2 linked regions of the Coturnix japonica genome follow. The protein of the gene in region 1 purifies or fractionates together with the protein of each later gene. This does not show direct contact. Links are inferred from orthologs where the notes say so. Each region holds a gene or a part of one and is shown in the gene's direction. Other genes may lie near its edges.

Region 1 (7,475 bases):
TTTGTTGTTTATTTGAAGTTAGTACTTATGTTATCTATCCTTTCTGCAGCTGATATTCAAAATATCAATCAGTGTGCATCCTTTTCAGTCATATTTGACCCTGAAAACTATTTGACTTGACAAAAAGCATTAAAAAAAGAACAAAATCATTCTTTTTGGAGTAAACTTGGTTGGTAGAGTTAGCTGAATGAATGTGTTCTGGTTGCTAGCAAATTGCATCAGTAGGCTTCTGCTGTCAAACAGTGACAATTTGTTCTTATCAATTTTTGCAGGATATATGCTTGAACCAGATCAAGAACAGAGACCTGATATTTTTCAGGTATCTTACTTTGCCTTTAAACTTGCCAAAAAGGATTGTCCAGTGTCCAATATTAATGTAAGTAGTCTTTCTTTTTTTTTTTCCTTTGCATTCAGGGATTTTCATAGATAGCATTGAGAAAAATCAGTCAAATCAGAGGTGCACTTATTGATGGTCATGAAGGTTTTATAAAAAGGAAATAGTCTGATCTTCCCCCTGCTCGGTGCTGCCAGTAGATCAGGATAAGGTTTGGCTTTACTAGAACTGAATGAATGAAAACTTGAAGCCTTGTAATGCAATGATGACAGCTGGTGCAAGCAAGGAAGGAGTTTTTGAATGCTTTACCTGCTGGTATTTTCATTGAGCACTGAGGGTGGAAAAGGCCAGCTTGATCTTGCACGTGTTGGAAGAGTTAGAGGAGAAGGTAAATTAAAGATGAGCTTACTGTTGTTGTTGAGCCCTGCATCTTAGTGCTTGCTTACTGTTGCTGAGGTGGGGTTATGTTTCCAGTTACTGCTGTGGATGACTTCCAGTGTAATTCAAACACAGTGTGAGAGCTGAGACAGGTAAACTGTGACAGTGTCTCTGGCTAGAGAAATGAGGGCTAGTATGAGAAGAGGAGTGTGCATTTATGACAATGATACATGATTAGGTTGTGATTTGCGGTAAGAGATTAGTTAAAGGAGCATAAAAACTTAGATGCTGCGTTGTTTTGTGAATTTTGCATTGGATTAGAAGAGCGGAATAGACTAAAAAAACTACCACTGTTTCAGTCTGGTTTTTAGCTTTAATTCTTAAACTCATAAATAAAATGAGCCTTTATTCTCTCCAGTTGACAAAAGGTGTATGAAGAAAGTGTGTTACCTCATTGTTGGTAGTTCATGAATGAACTGAAATAGCTGACATGGTAGTGAGTCAGGGCAGCAGCGCTTTCATTTTGTACTTCTTAATAAGTAACAGAAAATAGAAATAGTGTTCAGTAAAAATACTTTCAATCTACAGCCATGTGACAGGGTTCTGCATGAAACCTTGTAGCATCAAGGATTTGAACTCGGTTATTTCTTCTTGATTTGTAATGATTTCTTCAGGAGTTTGTGCTTTTAATTTCTTCACATTTATTTTTCCCCAGAATTCTCCTGTCCCTTCAACTCTTCCTGAGCCTATGACAGCTAGTGAGGCAGCTGCTAGAAAAAGCCAAATAAAAGCAAGGTGAGTAGATGATGTGACTTCACAGTTTTTAATATTATTAAACTGCACATTTGTCTGAAACTCTTTCATTAAAGAAATTATCCAAATAGTTTATTAGAATAGATAAATGACATTTCTAAGTGTTTAAAGTCTGAGTTAAATTTTTTTCAATTATTTTGAGAGTCCACTGATGAGATTTCAATATTCCTTTATACTGATAATTGTTTTAGCTCTGAGTCTACCAATATGTGGCTTAATTACTAAAATTGTTAGCCATAATGATCAGCTCAACTGCAACTTTATTAGCCTTCTGCAAATGAAAAGCAAACCTTTGGGGCTCATCTAAGCCATGTTTGAGCTGTATAGATATAGATATTCTGTTCTAAGGCAGTGATTGGTTTTGTTGGCTCTACTGTCGGTTGGTGACATACAATTAAGGGAAAGTGTTGAGTATTAATGGAATAATGTTTTCAGCTCCACCTGCTAGGCGCTACTGGGAGAGAACCATGAATTTTCCTACTTAAGTTTTTCTAACTACATAAGATACAGAGGTTAAGGCAGAAAACATTTACATATAATTTGCTAAGAACTAGTATAAGGTGTTAGGTACTGGGGCTTAGCTGGTGAATTTGTGTTTTTAAGCAGTTAGGCAATTTTTAAAGAAGCCAATACTGTGACTGGGCAAAGTGGGGTTAAAGCTCCAAAGGACATTTTTTTAATATCTTCCTTATCTGGGAAAACATGATGCAGTGCTAATGTTCTACAGAAAGACACAAATATTTAGGGAGGTTTATGAGCGATAGAACTGCTAGATGGTAAATCTGTCATGAAACCAGGGGTTAATTAACAGATAAGATTAAGAAAAAAAAATCTTACTTTGTGTGTGTACGAGAAGTAACTATCTCTAGTTGCAGGATTGCTGCCTCTAGTTTTCCAGGTAATTTTTATTCACTACTGTGAACTAATGAAAGCTTGCACAGAAATCAGATCTAGTGCTTTATTTGCATGGAGAACAAGGCTGTTGCACTTCAGCAGCAGTCGTATCTCTTATGATTGTGGTGAGAAGAATTGTAGGAAACAAATATTAAGGTATTTAAATTGAGCTCAGAAGTAAACAGCATACGTTTAAGATGAGGTGAGCTGTAAAGAGATGACTATTAATTTGAATACACAGCAGTTACTTTTAATGAAGTCTCGTCTGGAAATGTTTCAGAATAACAGATCCTACTGGACCAACAGAAACCTCAATTGCACCACGACAAAGACCAAAGGCCAATTCAAGCACTGCTGCTTCAAGTGTTCTGACGATCCAGAGTTCAGCAACACCAGTCAAAGTACAAGTTCCTGGTGTATTTGGTAACCGTGGGCAAAAAGGTAATGGACCAACATCTAAGGATTGGATGAAGCAAATGAAACAATCATTCCAAGTTTATTTTCCTCCTTAATCTTTGAACAGTAATCTTTGAAACTTGAAATTAAGTAGGTACAACTTTGTCAAAAAAACCCCAGATCTTCATCCTTTCTGGATGACTCTAAACGTGCAAGTAGTAGGTATTCAAGACACATTGATTTGTGCTTGATTTGATTTAAGAGGCTGCGAAAACAACTGAATGGCAAAACTCAGCAATCTAAAGGATTACATCCAATACTTCTTATGAAGAATGCTTTGAGAGGCATTAATCAGTATTTAAACATGTACTGTGAGAGACTTGTGTTCAGATATTTTATTTACTTGGCTTCCAAGTATGCAAAATCCAAAAGCACTTAACTGCATTCTTTCACTCAAGGATGAATTTGTCAGATTATTTTAATAAGGATATAGACAAAAATGTAATGTCCCAGTTTTGAGTCAGAATAGATGAATGTTGTTTGAGACACTGAAGATAAAAGTGAATTGCTAGGAAAGTGGAACTACTGAAACCAGCTTCCTCAGTAAATGAGAGCAAAGGAAGCTTCTCATGTCTTTGATGTAGACACTGTAGATTAATAAGCCTGCAACTGTCTTCACAGAAGGTGAAATATACAGTAAGCTTAGCATGCAAGATGTCATACTTGGAAGGGGACTATAAACTGTTTTGCCTTGAAGCACTTAATGCCAACTGCCTGGGTAAATGGACAGTTGAAGTTTAGAAATTGGCATGTGAGTAGTATTGTCTAAATATTACAGGAACCCCAAGACCTGGAAATGGTCAAGAAATGTTGCTGTCTCAAGGGACCAATCAGCACCATCCACAGCAGAACAGAGTTCTTCAGCAGCTGCAGCAGGGGGACTGGAGACTACAGCAACTACACCACTTACATCACCAGCAAAAACAACCTACAATTCAGGAGGCTTATGTGCAGCAGGTACAAATCATGTATTTTAAATACATTTCTTAAAGAGCTGTATGTTGTATCTGTTAGCATTTTGAGTCATTTGCTAGTTAAACAATATGACTTGGTTTCTTAATGCTAGGAGAGAGGGAGAAGGATTGTAGCTCTTGCCCTTTCTTTTTAGCTTTGCACATTTGTCTCGTGCCTAGGCATTGCAGTACTTACATGAGGAAGTTGTTTTCTTTGTGCTGTCCTGCCTTTGTTTCTTGACCCAGAATTTCTGCTTGCTTGGAATCAGCGCTTGCTGGCCCAAATAAAGGTTTTGTCTGTGTAAGCATGCTCCAGAGAAACATTTGGGATGATCTAGCTGACAATGGTATGCTCGTAGGAGCTTGCGTAGGGTAGACCCTTTGAGTCTAAATATTTGTGTGTGCTAAATAGGGGAATCATGATTTCAAGACTTTTTTTTTTTCTTTTTGAATATAGTATCAACAAGCAGTGCACCAGCAGGTGATCCAGCAGCAACTGTTGATGCAAGCTGTGTACCAGCAGCAGCCTTCCCAATCTCAGTATCCTGCTATGGTATGTCAACAGTGGGATGTCACTGTCAGTCTTCAGATATGCCCTATGATTGTAAGACACTGTGAAGTTGCAGTAACACAAGTTTTGTGAATAGTTATGAGCTTTGGACTTGGTAAATATCTAAAATGATATTGAGAGGGGAGAAAAAAATGATTCATCCAGCCTTGATTGAGAAAGCTTATCTGGCACTTCAGCATTTAATGTGATGTAGTCTAAGCTTTGATCAGTAAAGTACTAACTGGAAACATACTAAATGCTTTAAGTTTCCAGTGATGACCACCGCAGCAAACAGAAGTTATTGTGCAAAGTGATAAAACCACAGCGGCATCAAATTTGTACTTCAAGCCCAGGATGTCTAATGAGTTAAACCATCTAAGTACCGGTAGCCAGAAACTACTTTTATAGGCACTGTTATGTATGTACAGAGCCATATTGTGCGGCATTTGCTGAGGAAAGCATGCAGAATTTCTGAGTCTTCAAGTAGAATTAAACCAACAAAATACAGTTGGTGTCCTTAGACCACTTCAGTACTTCAGAAAGAAAGAAAAAGGGAGAATCCAGGTTGATTGTCACAAGGAAATAATGTTCTGGAATGATGCAGTTCAACCAAGGTTATACATTATGTTTACAAACCTAACTAGCCCAGAGAAATCTTAGCTATGTATAGTTTCACACTGGAATGTGCAACAGAAAATGAAATTTTTTCAGTTGCCATTAAGCTTTATCATGCTAGTTAGTTTATTTTATTGAGGTTTGCACTGAATGAGCATTTTGTCTGTTGTTGCTTAAAATGGAGAAGTCTTTCAGCGTTTACTTATGAGTGGAATATAAATATTCTTGCATGCCCTTTGTGATGCTGCTGCTGCAGCGTAATAGAAATATACGCATATGTGCTATTTACAGATAAAGCAGGAAAGCTGTGTGGCAGGAGGTGTTCAGAAGTTGGGAGAAAGTTCATGACTTTTGGTTAAGCTGCTGATCTTTTCTGGTGTATGGTTGTTTTTAATGAAGCTGTCTGTGAGGCCAGTGTTGTTACTTAGCATAAGAGCTTCACGTTGACCTGTCTGAATGATAATAATGTGTTTGACTGTCTTATTTAGGTGCAGCAATATCAGCAGGCTCTTATGCAGCAGCAGATGCTTGCTCAGCAACAGCAGCGGTCACAACAGGTGCAATCTCCTGAATATGTTCCTTCTCTACAAGACTTCTCGCCACCCTTAATTTCCTACTCTGCATCACTTCCAGTACATGCTGGAACAGTGGCAGATTCTCCCTATGCTCCAACCAGGCAAGTAATCTGACACAAACATACCAAGGGTTGCTGTTTGCTTTCTGTTGTTAACTGTAATAGGCTCTACCAAATCCTTTTCTTGAAAGTTAATTGCTTCAATCATCACGTATTGCTAAAACTAATAAATAGAAGCTTAGTTAGTGTTAGTGTTAACAGATATTTTAAGTGGCATGAGGGTGGAGAGCAGGATGCATCTCATTTGTAGATGAACCAAATCAAACTTTAACTTGTTTTTTTCTTGTTCATGGACTTCTTCCAAGAAACAAACTGCTAATCACCTTGCTTTGGGTGGTCAGCAGCACATAATTAATGAAGCAGTTAATATGACACTCAACAGACACTAATTTTTACAACTTTCTGTTCTTTAATCCAGTTTGTAGGATATAGTTTTAAAATGGGCTTTATATTTCTGGTTAATTTGGTATGAGTTCTAACTCTTCCATCCACTTATCAGTGGTCTGACTTGTATTCTGTAATGGATTGTATCTTAATTTCAGCGATAAGGACCCTTTGCAGAGGTCCACGCATTTACTTCTTAATAAAGTATGGTGAAAAATGACTTTGTGAATACTCACTGTGGAATGAGAGCAATGCAACATTCAAAAAAAATAAATAAATAAAAAAATTGCACACTTGCCTTGTTTCACTGATGTTCTGACTGAACTTAGTGTTAGCTACATAAGCACATAAATACTACTATTGCTAAAATTGAAAGAGAACGTGTTACCTGTATGCAACATTTTGGCATAAGAAGGTATACCATCAGTTTTTATCCTGGTTGACAATCCTGTAATGTTCCTTTCTATTTTCTTTCTGTGGTCTGACTTTGCAGGTCAGGCATTCTTGATGCTGAGTCAATTACCAGTTACCCAAAGCAGAGCATCAATAACCCACCTGATATGTCAGGCTGGAACCCATTTGGAGAGGACAATTTTTCCAAATTGACAGAAGAGGAGCTGCTGGACAGAGAATTTGACCTGCTAAGATCAAGTAAGGGACACTTGAAGGCTTATTTTGCTTCACAGTAAATAAGGTCTCAGCAGTACCATCACCTATTTTACTGAAGGGCCGTACAGTCTGTGTACAGAATTCTTTCTGAGCATTTGAGGGCAGAGTTGGGCCGGTCTCCTTTCCTTTCTCTTTCTGGAAATGTGTGCAATAAGAGATGACTGTCTAAAACTGGTAGCTACTGGCTGAAGTACTGCAGAAATGGCTCTATCTTGGCTTCTAAATCCTGCTTATGTCACCTTGATTGTTAAAAAGCTCTGACTAGCAGAGGTATTTGGCTGCTTGCTTCATTCCTCTTCAGCTTTTTTCTTGCACACCAGAACAGAAGATTTTGTGGGTCTGATATGTCCTTTGAAAATGCCTGAAAGAAAAATGATCTATTACATTATGTTAATGTTTTGTAATGTCCTTTTTGATGAGTGGCTACATGTAAGGGCTGCTTTATTGTTCTGATATGGCATTAGTTGAATAAACTTTTTCTCTTGAAGTCAGTTATCTCAATGGTTTTTACTTGGAATTACTTTTTTAATTGCTTAACACATGTTTGTGTTAGATGCTTTTCCTGAAAGCTAATTCTGTCATTTGCAAGACTTAACAAGATGTGGCTGTGTCAAAATATATATATTGTGAATTCTTGACTGACTCTCAGTAAGTTTACTGCAATTAAAAACACGGTAAAGCTAAATTTCAAGTAACTGGGGGGAAAGAAATGATGCTTTCATATGTCTTTTTCTTTGTGGGTTTCTGGGTGGTTAATTGTAGCTGATCAAGAAATGCATGTGACCTATTCATCCT
Region 2 (7,475 bases), on another chromosome or scaffold:
TTTCAGCAGCAGCCAGCATCAACTGTAGTGTTTTCAGTATGAGTAAGCACATTACTATGGCAAAGACATATTAGAAGTATCCACAGTTATCTAAAAACTAGCCACTCTCTTGTTATGTCAAGGTGATTGTCAAGCAACTTCTTGTCAGGAAATGGAGTAAGAAAACAACTATAGCCATGAAAATGCCTACATCCATACCTGATTTTCTACTGCTTTGATTGGTATAGACAGTGTTGAGGATTTTGTCATATAACTGAAGTTCTTTGAAAGTTTTATAAAGTGGACATTAAGCTAAAAAGCATCATTTTTATTTCACGGGCAGCTGTGATAAAATTTCAGGAAGTACAGAGTAGTCTTTAAGTGTGAAGAAAAACTACTTCTAAAAGTAGTGAATGTTTTTCCCTCTTATCTTAAAGGAATTTTGCTTTGTTCTGATGAAGACTGAAAGATTATTATGCTGTGTATGCTATGCTTAAAAATAAAAGTACAGAAATATAACAGATAATTGATTCTGCTGATGTTTTTAAAGGCATTGGTGAGAAATAACTTGCAAACTTTTTGTGTTTTATGCAATTAATTTATTTCTTTTCTTTATCTGGGCCTCTAGTTTTGGAAACAGCTAATCTTCTTTAGTACCTGACATGGATTTGTCACCAGAACATGTACATTGAATTAAATATATAAAGGGAGGTTACTGGTTTGGCTGTAACTTTGCTTGTAATTACAACAGTCCAAATCCCAATTTTACTATTTTAATGTATATTTATAAGTTGCTAATAGGTCTATGTGCAGGTTATACTGTGTATGTTAGGCTGTCTGCTCAACGGGAGCATCTGCAATGGAGATATGCATTGTGCATATCATACTTTAAGACTGCTTTTAGAATGTCAATTACTTGATTTTTGTTTCCTTTATTTTGATAGAAGTTTAAACTTTTTCAGACCATAAACAATGCTCTTATTTACTTCTGTCCTTTTTTTTTGTTAGAAACTCTTTCATTAATCGCTTCACTTCTGTGCTCACAATGCTGTCTCCTTTCTGTTTTGATTTTGAACCAGTGGCCAAGAGAAAGAGAAGTAACAGTGCTCTGTCTAACACTGTCCTGTTTGGACTGGCACTGAAGACTCTTGCCACATAGTCTGGTAGCCGTTCCTGCTTGTATGAATCTGTGACCAAGTGCAGGTGTCTCAAATCCATTAGTGTGTTGGTCTTGTCTTACATCTGCTTTTCTGACCAGAGATGCATTTCTCTCACGTGACATAGAGCTGTTATGCAATATTACATTTGTCTGCACCCCTACAGAATTTTAAAAGAACAATTTTCCAACGAGGTGGTTATATTTGTGCTGATCTGGGGAAATAAATGAAACATTAGGTTCTTAAAACACTGTAGTAATTCCACAATAGATTTAAATGGGGTTAGTATTTTGAATTTGATCATATTCTTCAAAGAAATCTCTGGATTGTAGCAGCTCCACTTAAGATTTGACATTGTGGTGTGGTATTTCTAAGTAGGTTATGTCTGCTTTTCAGAACAAGTCAAATGTCTGTGTGAAAACAACCTGTAGAAGGAAACTGCACTGAACTAGGATAATGAAGTCAGTTGTACAGATACTTCTTTCCAAGTCCTTAAACATGTATTTTATGTGTTAATAGCACTAGTCTTGATGAAATGTGAGATCTGCAGCTGAAATGAACTCTACTGTGAGTTCTGTTCTGAAGATTAAAGTTAATGATTTTCAGCTAACTCAATTTTATTGCAGTTTATAAAAATTAACAGTCCATTACAAAATTTACAAGTTTTTGCTTTCCTGTAAGGGAAGGCTTTCTGCAAGGAATTCTATTTGCTAAAAGCCCAGGGAGAACTGGAATTAGAATAACAACGTACACTTGCAAGGTAACAGCTGTTAAGCTGGTTCAGTTTGCAAAATGCTGTGAAAGAAAACGCTAAGATTCTCAATATAAGGGTAGCATCTTTAACTCAAATTGGTTTGTTTTGTCTCCTCTTTGAAAAAGTGGAACTGTGTGGTACTTTAGAGTAAGATACTTTATTCTCAAAAGGGCTGTTTGTGAATGCAATTCATGTATTTGACTTATAGTGATTGCTTTCATTTCAGAAGTTGGGGAACAAACCGGTGAGGTTGGTTACTCCAGCTCTCCAGCAGAAGCACCTCCAAGCAAGTCTCCATCAATGCCATCCCTAAACCAGACCTGGCCAGAATTGAATCAGAGCAGTGAGGTTAGCACTTCAATGCAAGTTATTTAATTGCTGCTGTCAATAGCTAAATTGTGTGAAAATATATAATTCACAAGTGGATTGTTAATCACCGATTGTGAATGCATTGACAAAAACTCAAGGAGGACAATGGACACTAAAACACAGGAAGGTTCTATACATTTGAAATTGTAAAAGTGTTACCTTTCCAATTTTTCTGCCTGATTGGTAGGTGAGATAAGTTTTAAAATGTTGTCATTAATAGCAATTAAGCTTCATATTCATCCCTAAATGATCTCCTCTCGTACTTATTGGAGAACTTCAGTTGATTTTTTTTCTTTCTCCGGGTGCTTTCTCTTTTGTAACTCTGAAGGATTGTACAATCAAAAGTTATGCAGAACTTCAGAGTAAGCTTCTGAAATGTAGACAAATCTAAGCAGAACTGATGTTAAACAGAAAAAACTTTTTTTTTCATGATTAAAGTTTAAAAGCTGAGGAAATTTCCTTCATCTCTCAGGAAGAAGAACCTGGTAAGAGTCTATCCTTCCTTTTAAGGACAAGCACAAGCCTTACAGTGGTGCCTTTACCAGATAAAAAAATACAAGGCATAGTGATTCTTAGTTCTGTTTGACAGAATGACTCTTAGTCTGCTAGTAGGAGGTATGTATTTCCAGTCAAGTGAACAGATAGTCAGTTATTGCAGCAAGGACAAAATGTCTGCAAATATATTTAAACTTGTATGATGTATTCCATCATGCTTACAATGAAGATCCCTGATTTGGTAAGCTGCATCATAGTTGAACAGATGCTATATCTGCAGTTTAAACCAGTTGAATAGAAGAAGTGAAGTAGCAGTGCAAAGTTGCTGATCATTGGTTGTCAATCAAAATCTTCTTTACAAAACTGACTTTGTCTGTTCTACTAGATAATGTGATATTTTCTTCTGAAAATCAGTTCAGTTATAAGAGGTTTGGAAAAATTCTCAGGATAAATATACTACCAAACATTAACTATACTAGGAGTTAAATATTAAGAGCTTTTTGTTCCAATTATTCTAATTTCTTAGCTGTATTGCTATGCATGCTTGCTTTGCAACTTTTTCTTTCCAGCAAGAATCAGGTCAAAGTACTCAAGGTTTTATTGCCGTGAAAAAGTTTCTGGTTTTACAGCAGGCAGCAGTCTGTAGCCTCTTTCAGCCTCTTACAACTGTCATCAACAAATGAGTTGCTTGCAAAGCTATGCGGCTTTGGATGAACAACCTCTCCAAGCAATTTGCATCCCAGTTAGTTTTAAAAACATGGGTTACTCTGCTTTTTCTAGCTCACAATTGATTTTTACACTCCAGTTCTCAAGCTCAGGTAGTGTCAGCTCACAAAGTATGGACCAAGGTGTCAGAGCTTCAAAATAAAGAATCTTGTAAAAATCTGTCTGGGTTAGATAGATGCATGCTTAACAGTCCCATCTCTACAATCTACCGATCTCTCGTTTCTCCCTTCAGAAACCTTTTCCTTCCAGTTTCAGTGCCAGTGCTGCACACACTTCTAAGAGTTTAAAAAACTGGAAAGCCTATAAAATTTTCATTGAAAGCAGGTGTCATATTAGCTTTGACACAGATATAGTGTCTTTGGAGTTCACAACTGTTTCAGATATTTAGATGTTCTTTCAGTAATAGTTCAGTTTGTTCTGAGTTCTGCTTTTCAGTAATTAACATTTTTAAGGTATCTTTGAGAGACCTTTGTGAGTCTCAAAGACAGGTATTTTATTTTCAACTAATGGGACATTTATCCTAGCTAATTAGTATTACCGTCATTGCTCTTTGATCTTACCATTTCAGATGCCACTCAGTAGACACTGTAGCTTACAATGCAGCAGGAAGTTAGAAGAAACTAGTTTCTGGTAGTATCTCAGGATGGATGAATGAAACACTAACACCTCATTCCTTGGTTTAGTAGAAGGTGTTGATGTTCATCTGTTGTCTAGCTATAGACCCTAAGGACAAATAATAAATAATAAAATGAGCAACTGTGTAAAAGGAAGGGGAAAGCTTACATTTTTGCTAGAAAAGAGTAGTTTTGTGGAAAAATACCAGCTGAATGACGTCATAGCCTTTGCCTTTGTTAAAAAATAGGACTCCTTCTCTTCAAGGAACAGCACCACACGTGAAGGGTCTTAATACTTTAGTGAGTCTTGTTCTGATTATGTTTAATTAATTTTGGCTGACTGAAAACTATTATTTAGGAATTTCCATGAAGACCTATTTCTCAAGTACTACTTTAGGCTAGTTTCACATGTGGGCCGTTGACAGGATCACAGAATTGTGAGGGTTGGGAGGGACCTTTGGAGGTCATCTAGTCCAACCCCCTGCTAAAGCAGGTTCCCTACAGTTGCTTACACAGGAGAACATCTGGGTGGGTTTTTAATATTTCCAGAGAAGGAGACTTAACAACCCCTTTGGGTAGTCTGTTCCAGTGCTCTGTCACACAGTGAAGATGTTTTTCCTCATGTTGTATGGAACTTCACGTGTTCCAATTTGTGCTTATAGCCATTCTGTCACTGTGTACCACTGAGAAGAGCCTGTCCCCATCCACTTGACTCCTGCCCACTAGATGTTAATTAAACATAAGATCCCCTCTCAGTCTTCTCTTCTCCAGGCAGAACAGTCACAGGTCTCTCAGCCTTTCCTCATACGGGAGGTGCTCCAGTCCCGTAATATTTGTGGCCCTCCACTAGAAGTTCCCATTCATTCTCAAACCGAGGAGCCAAGAGCTGGACACAGCACTTCAGACATATCCTTGCCAGGGCAGAGGAGAGGGGGAGGATCACTTCCCTTGACCTGCAATGTCCTCTTACCTTGCAATGCTCTAACGCACCAGATGCCTCCAAGTAGGTCCCTGAAGAGGTCAAAGCTGGTTCTCCAAAAGCCCAGCCTTGCAATCCTACTTACTGCTTTCTTTCATCCATCTAAGTTCTTGAACTCCACTGTCTCGTGTTTGTTGCATCCAGGGCTGCCCCAGCCTTCACGGTCCCAACCAGTCCTTATTTGTAAGAACAAGGTCTAGCAGCATAGCTTTCCTCATTGACTCCTTCACCTCCTGTCAGAAAGTTACCTTCCAAACACTACAGGAACCGGTGCACCTGAATATGGCTCACACATACACTGAGTATGGTTTCATGTAGGAGAGTGCATGATATTAGATTGACTAACAAAGTATACTGTGCCCTGTATCATCTGAAAACATGCACATTGATTTACGTACGGATGTGGGACAAGAATATTAATTTGTTTTTATGACCTTACTAACATTTTAGTCTCTCTTGAGTGCTACAAATCTTGTTTGAAACTTGGCTAATATTTGTTATTATGCCAGAATACAAGTTTAACGATCCTGTAGTGATTTGTTATCTAGTTTCTGGATCACAGATTACTGTTATGTATTTTGCTACTTCATCAATCCAGCTGTGACAGTAATTTGACTTATTAAGCATGAGGACTCTTGACAACTGTGTATTGATACAGCTCACCTATATCTTGAAAAACTGTACTTAATTTGCTTTTAACAATCAGTGGTATGTTTGAGTTTAATTCTTTCCCATGTCAGTGATTTAGACTTGTAAAAATACTCTTACAGAATAGAATCATTTCTCAGGGGTTGCACTAGCAAGCTGGACTGGTATAATTAGAGCACTTTGCTCAGTGTCAATTTGTCTGAGATTCTGTAAGAAAATCAGTGCCTCCCAAATATATTTGAAACTGGGCAACTACAAAGCTGAGGAATCTCTGTGGATTTTACAGTCACAGATGTGTGGCACAGAATCTCAACAATATTTGATTGGCTTAACGTTTTTTTTAATACTTGTGTAACTTTTACAAGAACTCTGAAAGTATTTGACTTAACTGTACACCTGTCTTCACTATGAAACATGAATGTAAAAGATGAATACTGACAGGTAACAAACTTGGTTGCAGTGCAGTCTCAAACTAAAATAGAAAGATTCAGTATGTGTTAATATAACTTCTAAGTACTGCCTAGTGCAAATACAGTGCTTTCCAGTGCAACCTCCAAACTACTATGCTAAGTCTCCTTGGTGATCTTTTACTCCCATCTTTCTCATCATGCTGATTTCTCTCCTCTGTCTGTTCAGCAGTGGGAGACATTTAGCGAACGCTCTTCAAGCTCACAAACTCTGACCCAATTTGATTCTAACATTGCACCAGCTGATCCTGTAAGTCAATCACTTAGCTTGCTTGTTTGAAATTAATTTTATTAACACTGAATTTCTATTCATTGTATGTAGCTGTTATGCATGATTCCTTGAATTCCTTTTATATTTTTTTTCCTTTCTTGTTTGGGGGGGAATGATAACAAGCTTATTAATTATTTTGCTTATTTTTAGGAATAGAATTTTTCTGGTACTGATCACATTTAATATCTGAGTGCAGCAAATGTTTGTTTTCTTGATTTTAATGCAACACTGTTGTCAAAAGCTGTATTGGAGGAAATATTTAAACATACTGTTTTTTGAATATGTAAGGAAACTGAAGAGCAACACCCAATCATATATTAGTCCCTTTTTCAGAATCTATCTTTAGTATTTTGTCAAGCTGCAAAATACAAAATCATAGGTGCTGGCAACACTCCTACTCAACTGAAAAAGCTGGCAGACTTTCATGGATGTAATGTATGAAACCCCAGTGTTTTCACCAATTTAATTATTATAATTTTTATTTAGTTACTTTTTTTTATCTCATTACATATTAATTATATTTCCAGCTAAATCTATGCTTTTGTAATGATGTACTTAATGAGGAATGCTTTGAATGGTGATGGATCTTATCAAGCTTTGGAGCCAAAGATCTGCTACATTGTTTTGCATGTAACATCAAAATGGTTCTGAAATGCCTTAAATTTACTTCTTTAGCAGTTGCTTTTCCACCCGCTTTTCTTACAGAAATTATTGCTGTTACTACTGTTTTAAACTTATCACATAATAGATGTGCATAATAGACATTTAAATGCTTTTAATCTTTAAGAGGTCCCTTCAGAAATTAACAAATACATAAATAATTAGTAACTGTATGCAAATATATCAGAACTCTACTCTGAGATGTCACTGCTATTAATGTGGAAATAGCTTTCAGCATCTAGAAACACTAGAATTGAGACTGCACTATCTCTAGTGCCCAGAGTACTTTGAACAAAGCAAAAAGTTACTTGCCAGCCTCTTTTCATCTCAAAGATATAGACTTAAACGTACTATAT

Evidence for each region.
Region 2: the proteins of BMP2K (region 1) and REPS1 purify together in Homo sapiens (affinity purification with mass spectrometry; 3 studies listed by BioGRID and IntAct, counting the BioPlex papers as one, with this or other methods). This does not show direct contact. The link is inferred for Coturnix japonica from reciprocal best matches to the Homo sapiens genes BMP2K and REPS1.

Annotation. Positions count from the first base shown.
Region 1 is NC_029519.1:39,918,251-39,925,725, forward strand, and holds part of BMP2K (BMP-2-inducible protein kinase), read left to right. Parts: intron 1-272; coding exon 273-376; intron 377-1,427; coding exon 1,428-1,507; intron 1,508-2,699; coding exon 2,700-2,860; intron 2,861-3,653; coding exon 3,654-3,832; intron 3,833-4,285; coding exon 4,286-4,381; intron 4,382-5,481; coding exon 5,482-5,669; intron 5,670-6,504; coding exon 6,505-6,662; intron 6,663-7,475. UniProt on the Homo sapiens protein: May be involved in osteoblast differentiation.
Region 2 is NC_029518.1:48,978,453-48,985,927, forward strand, and holds part of REPS1 (ralBP1-associated Eps domain-containing protein 1), read left to right. Parts: intron 1-2,116; coding exon 2,117-2,238; intron 2,239-6,357; coding exon 6,358-6,438; intron 6,439-7,475. UniProt on the Homo sapiens protein: May coordinate the cellular actions of activated EGF receptors and Ral-GTPases.